4 linked regions of the Schizosaccharomyces pombe genome follow. The main gene of each other region encodes a partner of the protein of the gene in region 2 in a complex. Each region holds a gene or a part of one and is shown on either strand. Other genes may lie near its edges.

Region 1 (5,077 bases), on a different chromosome or scaffold from region 2:
GGACTGGCCTTACGATCTTTCCTATCTTACTGAATTTTTAAGTGTATGTTTATAATTATATGATAATATATCTTTTACTAACATTGTCAGACTCGTGAAGCGATGACTTCCTTAAACGTTAACCTCGAAAAGGTTCATGATTGGGAAGAATGTAATGACGACGTTGCCCTACAATATGCTCGTGAAGGGATTGAGTCCTCATCTAAGTTAATCCAGGACCTTGTATCTACGGTTCCTATTTTGTTGTTTTACGGCGAAAATGACTTTCTTTGTAATTATTTATCTGGCGAAAAATTAACCCGATCACTGGAGTGGAATGGTGCTGTTGGTTTTCAAAATCAATCTGCTCAACCATTTTATCTTCCGGGCTATTCTGATCAACCATCGGGCTCCTATGTTAGTTCCCGGAACCTGACCTTTGCTCGCATAGTTGAAGCTAGTCACATGGTTCCATACGATCATCCTAATGAAATGAAGACCTTGATTACTGCTTTCTTTAATAATGACTTTGCCAGCTTACCATCGGTACCTAAACCCTCTCCGGATTTAGGTAATGGAAACTACAAATGGCTTTATTTGGGTTTGATTCCTGTTGCTTTAACTATCATTATTTTATTCTCAATTTATTTGTGCAGGAGATTTGGATTATTTGGTCTTAGCAAACAACGCTACCAACCTATATCTCCAACTCCTTAGACTGTATATAAATCTTTTCTGTCGGTTTTTACTTTCACATACAGATTTTCTGCTCTTTATTTTAATCATTTAACTTTTAATCTTGCTTTATCGGTGGTAGAATTTATTTTTTTATCTTGGAACGTTCTTCCCTGGTTTTAAAAAATCTGCGATTATCACCATAAATTTTATCTCTCATCTTTAATCAAATTTCACTTATGGATACATTCTTTGAATTTTTATTTTTGCACATAGTCTCTAAATGATCTCAAATCATGAATATGAAATATCATGTACCAAACATTGTCTTATAGCTATTGTTTGTTCTACAGTTTTTGTAGTTTTTTTATAGGACAGATTAGCGTCAAACGCTAATCTCAATAACGTGTTTGCAATAGTACAGTATATCATGGAGAACTACGTCTTGTAACATGTGTCACAAATGTATAAATACTAGTGAGATCTGTCTGTTTATATTGACAATCCGTTACATCCCTTAATAATCGATTATTATAAATAATTTATAATCGAATCACGTTCCTAAATTCAGTTAGAAGCTATAGCAATGGGAGGATTCTATCACATCTACGCATGAGAACAAAGGAGAACTGCAAGCTAATAACAGATCTACTGTAATCATATTTGACAATCCAAAATCGACGCACGTTATCAGGGACACAATTGATGCGTTTGGTAAATTTTACAGACAGCCTTAACTAAATAGGTCTAGGCAACGAGTGAACTAGCTCTATATCAAAGAAGAAATTGGATAGTTTTATTTCGATGACAACGTCTTTAAATCCATGATCCAATAGGCCCAACTTGCTTGTGGATGGATACTTACAGATGGCACGCTATCGAACAGAACACCAGATATGATCTTATTGCTACTCGGCCAAATTGCATCAAAGTGGTAAATAATATTTCAGCGTAGGTTTTGCATCCAAAATTTTGAAGGAATAGGTTATAATGAAGCACCAACTGCCCAAGCATTTTCAACTGATGTAAACTTGCGAAATTTTTAGAGAATGCGCCTTTTCTGCTGTGTCAATAAACAAGTCTTAGCTAATAAAAAAACATGTCGCAGTAGTACTGACAACGCTATAATTTACTACGTTGTGTATCACATTTGGAACATGTTCTATTTAAACATAGCCTCGTAGATGATAGATATTGGGGCAAATCATTTGATATCTGAAACAAATATTTAGTTTATATGTTCAACAATTTAAATAGGAAACTAAATTTCGTTCCTCACTTTAGTCAGAAGCTAATAACAGAAATAGATCATAAATAATACCTACATATACCAATATTTTCAATGACTCATAGCCGTTATACCTATGTATTATAATATAACAGATCACATGTAAAACTTATCGCGGTTTTGCATATCGTTAAACAGATACAAAACTGCGTAGCATACATAACGAACTTTAGAATATACGCAAGAACTCAACGCAATATTGCAAGGAAAATTATTCTTAAACGATATACCATTAGCCAACATATGCAATTGTCATTACCAGAACTATCGTACACACACAAATCAATAACAGAATTTGAGCCTGCAATTCGGAATGATGGACGTTCGATAGACCAGCTTCGTCCGCTTTCTGGACAAGTAGATGTTCTGCCTGGTACAAATGGTTCTGCTAGAGTTAAATGGGCGTCTTCGGTGGAGATAGTCATAGGTGTAAAAGCAGAAGTGGGTGATGCTACTCCCGAAGGTGGTAAATATGTCGCTTCAGTTGAAATGTACGTGAGATATTTGGAGTTCGTATTAACATTGTTTGGCGTAACAAACAATATGAATCAATTGAAAAAAGCTGGTATGCTAACACTTTTTATGTAGTTCTCCATCTGTTTCAATCCAGAATCGTGAAACCGATGAAATTCCTTCATTCCTTACAAGTGCCCTTCAGGATTTATTAAACGCACTTGCTGTCGACTATTTGAAATTTACACCATCTAAAGCTTGGATTATTCACGTAGATGCTGTTGTAATACTTTCTTCGTCTCCTTACGAAAACATTCTTTCAGCTTTAAGTCTTGCTGCTTATTTAGCATTACAGACTACACGTTTACCTAAAATTTCTACCCCCAATGTCACAGACATCACTATTGGATCTACTAAATATGAGCCTTCCGAAGAATACGATGTTGATTCAGAATGGGAAAATGCATTACCTTTGCAAGGGTTAGAATTAATGTCAGTCATAATTTTGGTTAGTAGCATTGATCAAGTGATAATTGTTGATCCTACAATTGAGGAATCAAGTGTCGCTCAAGTGACATATGCGATTGGTGTTCAAGCTAGTGGTGCTATTAGCTATACCAGGGTCGTGGGTACTGGAGGAGGCTACGCATCCACTGGACGTGCAATAACTGTAGAGCGATATATAGAATTGTTAGAGACTGCGTCTACCGTTGGTACTAAGCTTTTGAACGCCAGCAGCGATATTCTATCTTTTAAGGGTTTAGGATTTTTTGATATTCTTCCATAAATGAATTGGGTTGGGTTGGTCTCCATTTCCTATATAATAGCATCTTTCTCTCTATATATATATATAAATGCAATACTTGGGTTACGGAATCAGGATCAATTTTGTTACATGAAGAGGCATGCATCGGTATTTTTGGTTACTATGGTTGGTCATTGTATTTCGTTTAGGTCAAAGTCATATAGCAAGTATAGTAGATGGGAATAATTTAAGGGAAATGAAATGGTAACGTCTATAAAAATAATAAAGCCTATGCGGCCACTTCTTGGCTTGTTTGGTCAACGTGATCCAACATTTTTTGGATCTTAGAAACAAGTTGCTTCCGTTCAAAACGCAATTTCTCGCTGCCCAGTACGTCAACTCCATCCAATTTTAAAAGCTGTTGTAAAAGTAGTTCACTTATCATTAGTTTCTGTTTGTTTTTCTGCTTTGGATCGTTCGACGGTTTATTTACGTAATTGTCGTACATGGGGGAAAGTTCTTTGTCAACATACTGATCGATGGCTTTTATTTCTCCAGAAATACGCGAAAATACAGGATTCTCCGCTTCCGCTTTCGGAGCGGGCTCAACCGTGTCTTTTTCCTTGGAACCTCGTTGTTGCTTATGTGGTCTTATACATAGAATTTTACTATGATTTTTTAAACCCAATTTTGATAACGAGGCTTTTTTGTCTTTTAAACGCTTGCCAGCGTAAAAAAGCTTGACTTTCTTCTCAGAAATCTCAGTCGTTTCAAGTAAATCATCAATCAGTTCACTTAACGTCTCATTTAGATTGACTGCTACCGGAAATCGCTGATTTCCATAGTGTATTGTAACTGTGCTAGTCTTTTCTGACATTGACGATATTAAGTCGACTTGCTTAACGGATCCAACTCAAGATGTTTTATGTTTTTAAGGCTGATGCTATCCAAAAAAATGAAGGTCTTAATGCGACGCTTAAAAACGAAAGGTAATAAGTTAATAAAAGTATACGAGCGGTCTGGTTATCTAGGTTTGCGGTTCATTATGACTCATAAGGTAGACTCTGCAACTCTGCGTTATATTTGTTAGCAACCATAAAATGAAAAGATTAATAAATAAAGTATGGGATTTTGAAAATTGGAAAAGTAGGAAACAATGATAATTTGACTTACATTTTTTAAACAATCGAATCTTTGCTTTGTGAGATGAAAAACATCACGGAATTGGGTAAGGATCATATGAACTAGAACATTCCGATTAAGTTGGCCATTTTCTATGTTTTTAAGTTGAACTTCCATTTCTTTTCGCAAGAAAGGCTTGGTCAAACTCCACTCTAAACCAATTTCATCATAGCCTTTTGCCAAAGCAACTCCTAAAGAGCTTGGTACAAATTCAGTTACACCTTGGCCCCTTTTTTTTCGTTTTATGACATATTCTCTCTCCTGAACTTTTTCGATGTGCTCTGCCATAGTAGCATCTGTCCCGATTCCATTGGCATCCATCAAGGCAATTAACTCCGGTTCAGTGATATAGGAAGGGGAGGACGTTGAACTGTCCATCATGTCGAGAATGTGGGGTTGGAATTCCTCGTGAAGTCTATACTCTGGTAATTGATCCGAACTTTCCCATTTCTCATATGGATAAACCTCTAAATAATTTTTCTCTGTCACTAGCAATCCCTTTTTAGAAAAAAGCTCTTCTTCCATTTTAACCTGCACCAACGTTTCGGCTCCTTTGGCATTGTCAGAACAACAAGCTAAAAATCTTCTTGTAATTAGCTCATATACTTTCCAATGATCTTGGGAAGGAAGCGCTGACCGGTGAACCATTTGAACGGGATGAATAGGTGGATGAGCGCGATCATTGTGTTTACCTTTTCGGGGCGGTCGATAATCTCCAGCCAAAAGCCTAACATTAGTTATTACGGAAGCCACTA
Region 2 (3,940 bases):
GAACCCTCTCATGGGATCACGTTTGAAAGCTGGGAAAAAGAAATTTCCATTGATGGGAAAACTGAAGAGATCTCTTTACTTTTGGAAGAATATCCTGATTTAAGGAAACAGATGGAATCTTTAGTACCTTCTGAAGTTTCTTATGATGATTTTTGGAAACGATTTTTTTGGCATAAAGAGGTTGTACAGCCGATAAAGGCAATTCAATCAGGAAACGATGAAGAAGAAATTTTTAGTTGGGGAGATGAAAGAAGTGATGAAGAAGAAAGTGACAATGAACAGGTTAATGATGAAAAAAAGCAATCAAGTGAAGAAGATACTACTGAGAATAATTCAGCAGCTGAAGTGATAGATGAAACCGTCAATGATTTGGAGTCAGCAGTTTCAAAAGGCTTACAAATTGAAACTCAACCCGCAAGCCATGATGGAGAGGTTGATGGAGAAGTTAAAGAAGAAGAGGAAAATAAAGTATCATCTTCCAGTAATATAGAAGCTTCTCAAAGTTCTCTTGAGGTGAAGGATGAAGCAAATAGAAAAGTTGATGACGATGATGAAGACGATGATGACTGGGAATAACGACTCTCGTCAAACTATTAAAAAGAGATATACTGTTTTTACTTCTCTTCTATTCATTTACTTGTTTTGGTGTGTTTTGTTCGTATAGCTAATTATTTGTCTGAAAACATTTTGTTTACGAACAACTCTTAGGTATATTATTAGCGGAATATAAAAAACATCTAATCTTGAGTATGCAGGTTGGAGTAGTAGGACTAGAGCATTAATCAACCTTCTTATAATATTATACATTTACATATACTTTTTGATTGTGAAACTTAAGGAAACCAGGATTTAAAAGTAAATCTGTATGGGTCGACGACATCAATAGATAATAAGTCCCTTAAATAATGAAGATTTTTAAGGAGAAAATGAATTCTGATATCACTTAGCTGCTTTTAGTCTTTTTTAAGTTTCTTCCAGTTGTTGTTTATTCACATCACATAGGCGAAGATCAACAACTCGACCATGAGCAGCACCATCTTCTTCACCAACGAGTGCGTATTGATCAACGATACATTCTAAGCTGCTAAATGGCTTAGTCAATACTTCGGTATTGTAAGCGTTTAGCACAACGTGAATGTAAATAACAAGAACAAATAACCAAGTAGGAATAGCTAGAGCCCACCAACGAGATAGATAATAATGAATCTCAAAAAATTTGAGAACAGGCGCAGGCGTCAGAGCCCAAACAATATACACGCCGAACCCCAACATTGACACCAAATACATCACGAACCCGTAATACTCATAAGTAGGAACTTTTACCATTATATCCCAATCTTGTTGATCAATTTCTGCAATGGCAGTTCCCTCTTCATCAGGCGTTGTAGACCTCGTTCGAAACATCGTAGTCAAAGATGGCGACGGTGGAACCAACATCGGATGTCCGTAAAACGGAGGATCAAAAACAGTAGTTTGCCTTACATCTTCTATCTCTCCTTCAGCAGAACCCTCTATCCCTTTTATGAACGTGGAATGATGAGTAAGTGTCATCCAAACATGTGTTTACTATGTGCATTTGTTAGATGAGAGCGCGTACTGAGATGATACAAATACAACTACGTCTGCTTACGATGTGATTAAATTCGATATCCCTATTAACGACATACATACAGAAAATCCTCGTAAACAGCATTATAGCACAATGTACGTTTGCGTTATTTTTCACAGTCTGGGCTAATGTGATTTATAAAATTAACGAGATTTACAGTATTAGTTTAGACACACTTACCGTCCAAGACATTAATCCTCGAATTATAGTGTATAACTCGCGAAAAATCAAACCCCAAATAGCTAATTTTCTTCTGTTAACCAAATGGCTGAAGTTGAAGAAAAAGGTCTGTTATCTTATTACTTTCCTGGTGAGCGGATACCAGACTCCATAATTAGTCAGGATGGATCAATTCGTTTAGGTCCTGGTTTAGTCTTTCAAAAGAAAGACCGTGAAGAAGAAATAGTGGTCTCAAAAGCTGGGAGGTTGCATCAAACTGGAAAAAATGCTATGTTGATAGACTCACGGACAAAAAGATATATTCCTGCTACAAATGATCAAGTTATTGGGCAAATTATTTCTAGATTTGCGGAAGGTTATCGAGTAGATATTGGGTCAGCTCATATTGCTCAATTGAATGCATTGGCTTTTGAAAATGTGACTCGTAAAAGTAGGCCCAATTTAAATGTTGGAAGCCTTGTGTATGCTCGAGTATCACTCGCTGATCGTGATATGGAACCGGAGTTAGAATGTTTCGATGCTACCACAGGGAAAGCTGCAGGATATGGTGAACTTAAAAACGGTTATATGATAACAGGTTTATCTTTATCTCATTGTAGGAAGTTGATCCTTCCTAAAAATACACTTTTACAGACCCTAGGAAGCTACATTCCTTTCGAAATTGCTGTTGGAATGAATGGTCGCGTTTGGGTCAATTCTGAAAATCTTTCTACTACGGTCCTCATTTGTACAGCTATCAGAAATTGCGAATTCATGTCTGATGAAGAGCAAATAAAGTACTGTAAAGACCTTATTAAAAAGCTCTAACGAGATTCAGAAAAAAAAATTTGAATAATATGCACAGTCTATTTAACAATTCTTGTCCAATTGGGTTTAATTCAAAAATGGTTTGCCCTTATCTAGGAGGGACCATTTCTGAATAAAGTGTATTGTTTCTTCTTTAATGCCTGTGTCTAATATTCCCATACAATTTCTGTCGTTCTTTTATTTATTACAGCAGCGTGTTCATACAATATCTACACTCGTCCTTTCTCAACTGTTTTAATTAAAAAATTACTTATTATAATGCATGAATATACAAATACAGATGCAAAGATAAGTAAGCAATAATTAATGCATGCATAATGAAAATATAATTGTTATTCGTGCTCGTAAATAGTTTTTAAGATCATACCAATTCTACAATCCCAAAAAAATTTCGTATCCAATTATTTCGTAAATCCTTCGACAATTGCAACGACACCAAGAGCGCCGGCATCGGGAACTTTAACATCATCACCAACGTAGACAGCACGTCCAAGTTTGGCTTGCATATCTGCAGTAGCATCAGCACCTTTACGAGCCTCCTCTACGGCAGCATTAAGATCATTAGTTTTAACAAATGTTTCGACAAATGGAACAAGAGCATCACACATAGTGCTGTCACCAGGACGAGCGGGAGTATACTTGAAAAGAGTATCAAGAGCAACCTTCAAACCAGCAGCCCATGTCTTAGATGAAATGTCCTTGCTCTTCTCCAAGGTGTCTTTCATGCCCTTCGCAAAGCCATGGAAGAAAATGGCGTACAAAGCACCAGATGTACCATCCATATTGTCTTCAATAACATCTGCGATATCACGAACAATACGAATAGGATCGTCAGAGAATTTGTCGGATTTAACAAACTTCAAAACACCTTCAGCACCACGCTTCAAAGTAGTACCACAGTCACCATCACCAGCCATCGTATCGAACTTTGTAATTTTAGGCTCTGCTTTGATGAGATTCTCCATCGAATTGACAATCGCCTGACGAACCTTCTCCTTATCGACAGTAACGGGAGACTTGACATCCTTCTGACCCTCCTCGATGCTGACATTGCCAATCTTGTTTTTGGACTTCAAGTCAGAGGGTTGACACAAAGGCCATCCGATAGCTTCAACAGGTTGGTCAATCAAATCAACCAAAGAGTATTCTTCGCCCTCGACTTTGACGCGGTCAGTGGTACGGAGCAAAGTGATACCGAAACCCAAGCCATTCAAACTGGTGGTAAATGGACCGGCAAAGATGCGAACGGGGTTGATTTTGTATTCTTTAGCCAATGCTTCCTTCACCTTGTGGCTAATGGCACTGAATTCAAGCATGGAAAGACCACCAAGGTTATTCATAAGT
Region 3 (4,364 bases), on a different chromosome or scaffold from region 2:
TTTTCGAAAAATACACAACGGCGGTCAACATACATTCGAGCTTCGACGTTATCCAAAGCATTCGTGACTAAAGATAACTTTTCAAAGAATTCATCGCCAAATATGCCTTCGCTTTCTGGTCCAACACGTTCTTGATATGAAGTTATTTTACCAGTCAATGAAGGATTCATGATTGAAACAGCGGTAGAAGCACATTCGGACTTCAGCTTTCCGACGTCACGAGGACGAAAGAGAAATTGACGATTCAAATTCGATTTTTCAATGGAGTCCATATCAGTAACAGAAATATGACCACTTTCACCAGTAGCGACACCCATCATAGCCCAGTTTTTCAGCATTTCACATCCAATAGCGCCAGCACCAACCAAAAACGTACTCAAAGAAGCTATTTTCTCTTGAAATTCCGAACCGAAAACAGCGATTTGCCCATCGTATCGACAGCCACGAGGTTTACAAGTTTCTTCACTGATCGTTACAGAAGATGGCAAGCTTTCTAAGGAGTCAAAATAGAAGTATTGCTTCAATGGGTAAAATTTACTGGTGGTAGCTTTCAACACTTCCTGTGCTACAGCACCGCCCAAAAACGCGGACATTGCAACCAAATCACCTCTTGCCTGGTATGAAATTTCCTTAATTAGTTTTTCATCGAGTTCAACATCAAATTGAAGTGTGCTTGCAATTTTCTTACAAAATTCGAAAAATTCAGCTGCATCAATGTCGTTACGGGGTCGAGGCAATGAACCTTCATGCGCATCGGCAAATGCTGAAAGGGCCTGGAAAGCAATGTGGTATTGTGGAGGTCTCATCATTTTACCAAAGTCAGGATATACATATTCAGGGTCCTTGAGCGATTCGCGGAGAGATTTGAAAGATATTTTGGTTGGAACTTTAACTTGGGTAAAGACACCATTGTAACCGGCACTTCCTAAATCTTTAACAGATCCGATAGAAAAGGTATATGGACCTTTCACTTCAACTTTACGAGGAGTGCCATCATTTAAACCAGGCATACCCTTCACTTCGGTAAATTTAACAAAATCACCATTCTCCAATCCATGACGAGTTTCTTCAAGCATGGTAACAACTCCATCATCAGTAATTGAAGCGATCATTCCAGTTAAAGGTTCATTTCCATCAGTGTCAGTACAAATAAAGTTCTCACCAAAATCACAAAATATCGATCCAAAAAGACCACGGCTGTCAGCAGCAATATAAGCAATATGGTTTTTGTGTGTAAAGTCGTTAATTTCTAGCTGTTTCGTAAGAGAAGTTTCTGTGACAACCACGCATTTGAAGTTTTTTAGATACTCTGTTGAAAGTTCATCAACTACAGAAACAGGCACATATTGATTAAGCTCTGCTAACTTTGATACCGTTACTTTTGCACGAGGAACACCAATATCGTCTTCTGTAAGAAAATATTGTGATGATAAGTCCTCAATGCGTGTAGGTTGAGGATCGTAAAGAGTAACGCTTTTTACACCTGCTAGACAAACGTTCTTTGCTATTTCAACGCCTAAACCTTTGCAGCCAATGATTAAGACATTCGACTGACTCATTTGTTTCATAGCCTCATGGCCTAAAACATAACTTTAGATAAATTAGCAAGCGCTCAGTACAAGAAAGAATATAAAAACATAAAGCTAAACCAAATCAACACCGGTAATAATGACTCTTCATGTTTCTAATAAAACTTACAGTTGTCTAGAGTAAAGCCCTTCATCGATAGTATTTTGATCCGTTTGATCAATGTTCATGTTATTCTTTTGCAATGTTAGTAAGAAGCGAAAAATACTTGAATCATTTAAACAAATTACATACACTCATTACGAAACGTGGTGTTGGCAGAGGAGAGTCATACGTAGGCTATAATATAGTGTTTTTATATGTTCAAATAGCGAGCTCTTTCGTTACACATGCTTAACAATTTATTACTCATTAAATTTAAGAGCGCGCACTTGAAGTATGCTGGCTGGATAAAAAAAAATTTTGCACCATTATTCTAAAAGCATTTTTATTTTCCAGCTTACTGATTGAAACGCTTAGTCATTACAAAAATCTTTTAGATGCGATAAAATTGCTTTCTATATGTCATATATACACCGAATCAAACAATATCGTTATATATATTAAGGCATGCAAACGCGTCATCCCAAAACGCGAAGCCACCACTGAAAATCCAGGCTGCTTCTGTATTGTTTTCTTAACGGTACATCAAGGTTAAAACAAATACTCTATAAATCGATGTCAGATAGAAAGAGAGTGTATGGACCGAGTGTATCCGTTCCCCCTTATTTTGAAGAGCCAGAACAACCTGTTTTCACGCGGACTCGTGATGTTGACAGATGTCGAAAAATATGTAAGATACCGATTATTAACATTTTCACTGACAATTAGATCTAAAATTAGGGTGGGCTACTAAAGCTGTCGGTAGCAGTTATTTTGAATCAGAAAAAATAAAAATTGCATGCACAGTCTCTGGTCCTCGACCTAGTAAGACTTTTGCTTTTCGTTCATCAGCAAAGTTGAATTGTGAATTTAGATTATCCCCATTTTCTACTTCTGTTCGTCAGGGACATGTACAAACCGTCGAAGAAAAAAGCTATTCCCAAATGATTGAAGCAGCAATTTCTCCAAGTATATTACTGCATTTGTATCCGAAAAGTTCTATAGACGTTTATATTCAAGTGATTGAAAGTGACGGTGCATTAGCAACATTGGCTGCTGCTATAAGTTGCGCATCAAGTGCAATAGCTGATGCTAACATCGACTGCATAGATTTGGTGACGGGCTCGAGTGTATTATTTAATCCCAATACGGATGAATATTGGATTGATCCTGATTATGTGGATGAGCGTGCAAGGGCTGCTAAAGGTTCTGTAGTTATGGGGTACATGGCTTCTCTTGGTCACGTTACTCAAGTATGGGAAAGAGGCACTTGCTCTCCGAGTCGCCTTTCGTTTTTGACGGAAAAATGCATAAAGAATGCCAAAGATACTCGGTTAGTAATTAATCATGCACTGCTACTAGAGAAGTCGAAATCCGAAGATCCTTAGATATTGGAATTCTACCTCTATAATAATATTCTGTTGATGGCTAATATTTATACCAATTTTACAAATTACATAATCAAATTTATTTCTTTTTAAAATTCTCTTCTATTAGTTGGCAATGCTCAAGTTTTGCCTTTTTTTCCTTAACACACATTTGAAGGGAGACGCTATCTTTTCTCGACAAACAAGCAGATGACTTCCCTAAGTAGATTTTCTTCTTTGAAATCAGCTTGGCCATCCGCAAGTTACGTTTGTTATGAAAAATACGAGTAAATATTAAATTAAAGATCTTAGTTTTTATCACTCGCGAATATATTCAGTAGCCAAACGATTAACTCTTTCCAATTTTTTCCAGTCTATTTATCGATTCCAATAGAACAAAACAAATGCTGAGATTTTATTAATACATATATTTGATACTAATTTATCAAGCTGCATTGAGACGAAAGCATCTTGGTAGTACTAGAATCATTGTTACTCACATACTGTTACCTGCTTCTTATAACCTCCAAATCAGCGAAATTCCGCGTCTTCATCATAGCCAAACTTATGCTCAATTGCCTCGTTTGTAAATTAAAATATATTTAACAATAAGAAGGACGATAAAGAGGGGATTCTTCTATACAATAAAATTGCTTTCATTTAAATTAGGTCATTGATGATTATTAGTTGTTGCTTTTAAAAATTTGATATATTCACGGACAATAGGATAGAACCATTTAAAACGGAAGCTAAGAATCTTTCCAAAAGTCCAAAATAATTTGATTTTATTGAAAATTACTCGAAAACTGCTGAATTTGCGAATTTGCCTTTATTGCAGCAAATTACCGTATTTGAATACTACACTAGCTTAAAATTATTGAGTTCTTTTTTAGTTTTGAAATAAAACTATAAAAAATCAAAATGTCGAGCCCAAGGCGCAGAATTGAGACGGACGTTATGAAGCTGCTGATGAGTGATTACGAGGTAACTCTTGTCAATGATAATATGCAAGAATTTTACGTTAGGTTCCATGGACCGTCTGAAACCCCTTACTCAGGTGGAATATGGAAAGTTCATGTTGAACTGCCAAGTGAGTATCCTTGGAAATCTCCAAGTATTGGATTTGTAAATCGTATATTTCATCCCAATATCGATGAGCTTAGTGGAAGTGTTTGCTTGGACGTGATAAATCAAACTTGGTCTCCAATGTTTGATATGATTAATATTTTTGAGGTTTTTCTTCCACAGCTACTCCGTTATCCTAATGCGTCGGACCCTCTAAATGGAGAGGCAGCAGCTCTATTATTGCGAGAGCCGAATACCTACTAT
Region 4 (4,197 bases), 2.0 Mb from region 2:
ATCTACTGACTTGCTTCTCATCATCGGTGGTCTTCGCTCCGATTTCAACTCGGGCACCTTTACTTATGCTACCCCTGCATCTCAAACCATCGAATTTCATTCCGACTACACCAAAATTCGTTCTGGCGTTTACGAGGGCATTTCGATGAAACATTTGTTGCCCAAGCTCACCGCTGCCATTGACAAAAAGTCCGTTCAGGCAAAGGCCCGTCCTGTTCACTTTGAGCCACCAAAGGCTGTTGCTGCTGAGGGTTACGCCGAAGGAACCATTACCCACAAATGGTTCTGGCCTACGTTTGCCTCTTTTCTTCGTGAGTCCGATGTAGTGACTACCGAGACAGGTACCTCCAACTTTGGTATTTTGGATTGCATTTTCCCCAAAGGCTGCCAAAATCTCTCACAGGTATTATGGGGCTCAATTGGTTGGTCGGTTGGCGCTATGTTTGGTGCTACGTTGGGCATCAAGGATTCCGATGCTCCTCACCGTCGTTCCATATTGATTGTTGGTGACGGTTCCCTTCATTTAACTGTTCAGGAAATTTCTGCTACCATCCGTAACGGTCTCACCCCTATCATATTTGTAATTAACAATAAGGGATATACAATTGAACGTCTCATTCACGGTCTTCACGCTGTTTACAACGACATCAACACTGAATGGGACTATCAAAACCTTCTTAAAGGCTATGGTGCCAAAAATTCTCGCTCCTATAACATTCATTCAGAAAAGGAGCTCCTCGATCTCTTTAAAGATGAGGAATTTGGAAAAGCTGATGTAATTCAGCTCGTTGAAGTTCATATGCCTGTCTTGGATGCTCCTCGTGTTTTGATTGAGCAAGCCAAACTTACCGCTTCTCTTAACAAGCAGTAAAAAATATGGCTATGGCTATATTATTATGATATGTTTTTGATTTTGAAATTTACAATATTTCTCAAATGATGCTTTTGTTAGGTTAGTTAATTTGCAACAGTCGTTTTTTTTTTCTACGTCAATCCATATTTCTTTCATAAAATGAATGAATATATTGAAGTTTATGCAGCGGTTGTTTTTTTGTTGGTAATTAGGATTCATTGAATGATTTATTTTTTTTTTCTTTTTGCATCCCCTTACTCCAAGGTAGACTTGTCCAGATAATTCCCTGTTAGTATAAACTCAATAACATAAAAAAAGGTCATTGAGACGACTGGTAATGAGTAGCAGCAATAGAATCACTAAATAATATAGTACCTTCAATTTGGTCTCTCGTCTATGTCTTTGGCATAGATGGTAGATACAAAGCATTCGCTACAACCAAATCTTCCTCATGGCTTACAGATACCATTACGGGAGAAAGCGGAAATCGGGGATCATGAATAACAACGGAAGGGTAGCCTATATTAATCATAACAAAGTCAGTAACTTTACAAACCTTTTATTTTTAAACATTGAACATGGAAAACAAATGACACACCTGTGGGAGTTCGAACATACTCCATCATAGACATGTAAACTCGAAAATTCGGTTGTAAAGCTTTGAAAACAGCTTCTTTGACGCACCATCTACATAGGAAAATAACCGTTAAAACTATGAAACGATCATAAATATAGACAAGCATACCTAACAGCAAGCCATTTAGCCTGTTCGCTTAAACGAGGCAGCGAGGAATTGCTTTTAATCAGGTTGTACTTTTTAATTTCATTTTCACACAGACATTTTTTTAAAAAGTTCTTTTCCCATTCAGGAGAGCGTTGAATTAATCTTGAGATTCTTGAAATTTTTAAAATGTCAATCCCTAAACCCATTTCGATTTTTGATTCTTTATAACATGAACAGGAAATATTAATGGTAATGCAAGAAGAAAAAAAGAAATCTATGGCTTCAATAATTTTGAACGCTTAATTAATAATATATTGTAAACTAAATTTCCGACACACTAAACGAGATATAAAAATCTTTATCCTTAAATAAAATGAAATAAATTTATCTAATTCATTATCGATTAGTGCCCCCAAAGACATCAAATCCAATTCGTTTCGTAGCGAATGCAGTAGCAGGAGTTTTTACTGTAACAAGTGTACTCTCTACTCACTCCCAGTTACAAAAGTGTTCAAAGGGAACCAAAAATTATATATTTGTAATCCTTTCAATCACGAAAAAAAAAATTTCATATGGTAAGAGATAGAATTTATCTCTAGATAATACGAGTACTAACCATATAGTCACACTTTGAGATTTTATCCCTTGAAGGTCTTCGAAATGGTAAGCCAATTCATTTATGGGAAATGAAAAAGAAACTTAAAATTTACATTCAAACATCTATGATTCTTATAAAATGTATTAATCTTTCTGTGTGCTAATATTTGTTGCAAGATGGTCGACGGTGGGATGAGATGAGAAACTTTCAGTGTCGTATTGGAATCGAGCCTTCGGAGAATGGGTCGGCGTTTATTGAATTGGGTAACACAAAGGTCTTGTGTATAGTCGATGGACCCTCGGAGCCTGTAATAAAGTCCAAAGCTAGAGCTGACAGAACATTTGTGAATGTCGAAATAAACATTGCTTCTTTCAGCACAATAGATGTGAAAAAGAGATTTAAATCGGATAGGAGAATTCAATTGCAATGTTTAGCTTTACAAAATACATTTGAGGAGATAATTCAAACAGAATTATATCCCAGAAGTCAAATTTCTGTCTACTTGCATGTTTTACAAGATGATGGTGCAGTAATGGCATCTTGTATCAACGCTACTACTCTTGCCTTAATAGATGCTGGTATACCAGTTAAAGATTTCGTTTGCTGTAGTACAGCTGGGATTGTTGAGTCTGATATGCTGTTGGATTTAAACTCACTAGAGGAGTCAGCTCTTTCATGGTTGACGGTTGCTGTTTTGGGGAACATAAAAAAGGTCGTATATATGCAGCTGGAAACTAGTATGCATTTGGATTATTTGGAGTCAGTAATGAATATGGCGATCGCTGGATCAGAACATATTTATAACACGATGCAAAGTGCGGTTCGACAAAGCGCTAAACCGGCACTTGCAAGTCTCAGCTAATGACAAAATTTTGGGGAAAAAAACTATTAAAAATAAATGAACGGGAAGATTAATTTTTATAATTATACATTGATAAGTCATCACAATTGCAACTTTACTTAGCTCTACGATATTCTGACAAAACGTATACAGCTTTACTCATTTTATTCCTAGTACAACGTTTTTGTCCTTATCCTTGGTATTTCTGTATAAGTATCAAAAAAATCACCTCGAATATCGTATATAATCTTTTAATGATTGCGTCCCTTTTTTGTCTAAAGGGGCTTATATTACAAAAAATATGGATTGTACTGTAGATATTATGCATCAAAAAAGGCTCATTAATTAGTTGAAGATTTTATGAATAAATTCGGTTATTCAGATCTCACTTATTATAATAAATTGATTATTTTTTGGGGGAGGCTTTCATAAACAACCGGGAATTTTTCATTCAACAGATATTACAGATTGATGTGGATTAAAAAGAAAATATATATATATATATATATTTTTTTAGATTTTTAGATATAAGAAACCTAAGGTTTATTATGAGAATCGTAAAACTGTTTTTCGAGATAAATGTTAAATTTGTTAATGTTAAAATATGAAAAACACAGTATTTTTATTTTATATATTTCTATAATGGTGCAAACTAACAGTAGCTCTTGTAGCTCAGTGGTAGAGCGCCTGTCTCGTAAACAGGAGGTCCAGTGTTCGAGTCACTGCCGGAGCAGTTTTTATATTTTTCGATCACAGATCGGCCTTTCTAATAAGCATTGAAAGCTACAAAATGAGTATACTAAGATACTTATTAATGCATATTCTTGTAAATAGGGTTTCTCACAATTCATCGAATATACATACTCAAATTCTGCCGTTACTAGTTGATTGCTGATTTCAAGGACATCTTGATTAATAAAATGGAAGAATCGCTGTAGGATCAACAGTTAATATTACCTTCGTTTTAAAAATGAGGAATCTCGTGCCGTTCAACCAAAGTAAAAATGAAACTTCGTCAAACTGCATGACTAAGTTTCCCCTTTCTGTTTTTGATGCTTTCATAGCACTGTCAAGAATACCGTTGCGCAAATATCTGGCAATTATATACATACCAGTTCATCGCGGCCTGATTTAAGTTTTGTACGTTTTATTGTTTTCAATTGTTTTTACTAGACAGCATA

The links.
Region 1: rrp40 (region 2) and rrp42 share a complex: the UniProt entries of both Schizosaccharomyces pombe proteins name them as parts of the RNA exosome complex.
Region 3: rrp40 (region 2) and mtr3 share a complex: the UniProt entries of both Schizosaccharomyces pombe proteins name them as parts of the RNA exosome complex.
Region 4: rrp40 (region 2) and rrp41 share a complex: the UniProt entries of both Schizosaccharomyces pombe proteins name them as parts of the RNA exosome complex.

The regions. Positions count from the first base shown.
Region 1 is NC_003423.3:4,229,768-4,234,844, forward strand, and holds rrp42 (exosome subunit Rrp42), read left to right. Parts: upstream 1-2,173; 5' UTR 2,174-2,185; coding exon 2,186-2,433; exon of another isoform or gene 2,434-2,499; intron 2,500-2,530; coding exon 2,531-3,182; 3' UTR 3,183-3,429; coding exon of another isoform or gene 3,430-4,017; 3' UTR 4,018-4,167; coding exon of another isoform or gene 4,168-4,212; 3' UTR 4,213-4,313; downstream 4,314-5,077. Other genes in the region: kex1 (serine carboxypeptidase), read left to right, coding at 1-43, 91-696; BAG family molecular chaperone regulator Bag101, read right to left, coding at 3,430-4,017; top3 (DNA topoisomerase III), read right to left, coding at 4,168-4,212, 4,314-5,049. UniProt on the Schizosaccharomyces pombe protein: Non-catalytic component of the RNA exosome complex which has 3'->5' exoribonuclease activity and participates in a multitude of cellular RNA processing and degradation events.
Region 2 is NC_003424.3:1,177,865-1,181,804, reverse strand, and holds rrp40 (exosome subunit Rrp40), read left to right. Parts: upstream 1-1,864; 5' UTR 1,865-1,873; coding exon 1,874-2,596; 3' UTR 2,597-2,949; downstream 2,950-3,940. Other genes in the region: SPOM_SPAC22A12.14C (BSD domain-containing protein), read left to right, coding at 1-576; mug84 (pig-P phosphatidylinositol N-acetylglucosaminyltransferase subunit), read right to left, coding at 964-1,551; dihydroxyacetone kinase Dak1, read right to left, coding at 2,998-3,940. UniProt on the Schizosaccharomyces pombe protein: Non-catalytic component of the RNA exosome complex which has 3'->5' exoribonuclease activity and participates in a multitude of cellular RNA processing and degradation events.
Region 3 is NC_003423.3:3,886,159-3,890,522, reverse strand, and holds mtr3 (exosome complex component mtr3), read left to right. Parts: upstream 1-2,205; 5' UTR 2,206-2,244; coding exon 2,245-2,359; exon of another isoform or gene 2,360-2,397; coding exon 2,398-3,056; 3' UTR 3,057-3,618; downstream 3,619-4,364. Other genes in the region: uba1 (ubiquitin-activating enzyme E1), read right to left, coding at 1-1,590, 1,699-1,763, 1,822-1,827; ubiquitin conjugating enzyme Ubc8, read left to right, coding at 3,957-4,364. UniProt on the Schizosaccharomyces pombe protein: Non-catalytic component of the RNA exosome complex which has 3'->5' exoribonuclease activity and participates in a multitude of cellular RNA processing and degradation events.
Region 4 is NC_003424.3:3,161,072-3,165,268, forward strand, and holds rrp41 (exosome 3'-5' phosphorolytic exoribonuclease Rrp41), read left to right. Parts: upstream 1-2,055; 5' UTR 2,056-2,149; coding exon 2,150-2,152; exon of another isoform or gene 2,153-2,200; coding exon 2,201-2,240; exon of another isoform or gene 2,241-2,351; coding exon 2,352-3,037; 3' UTR 3,038-3,283; downstream 3,284-4,197. Other genes in the region: pdc201 (pyruvate decarboxylase), read left to right, coding at 1-871; ppt2 (holo-[acyl-carrier-protein] synthase new8), read right to left, coding at 1,248-1,372, 1,452-1,540, 1,599-1,783. UniProt on the Schizosaccharomyces pombe protein: Non-catalytic component of the RNA exosome complex which has 3'->5' exoribonuclease activity and participates in a multitude of cellular RNA processing and degradation events.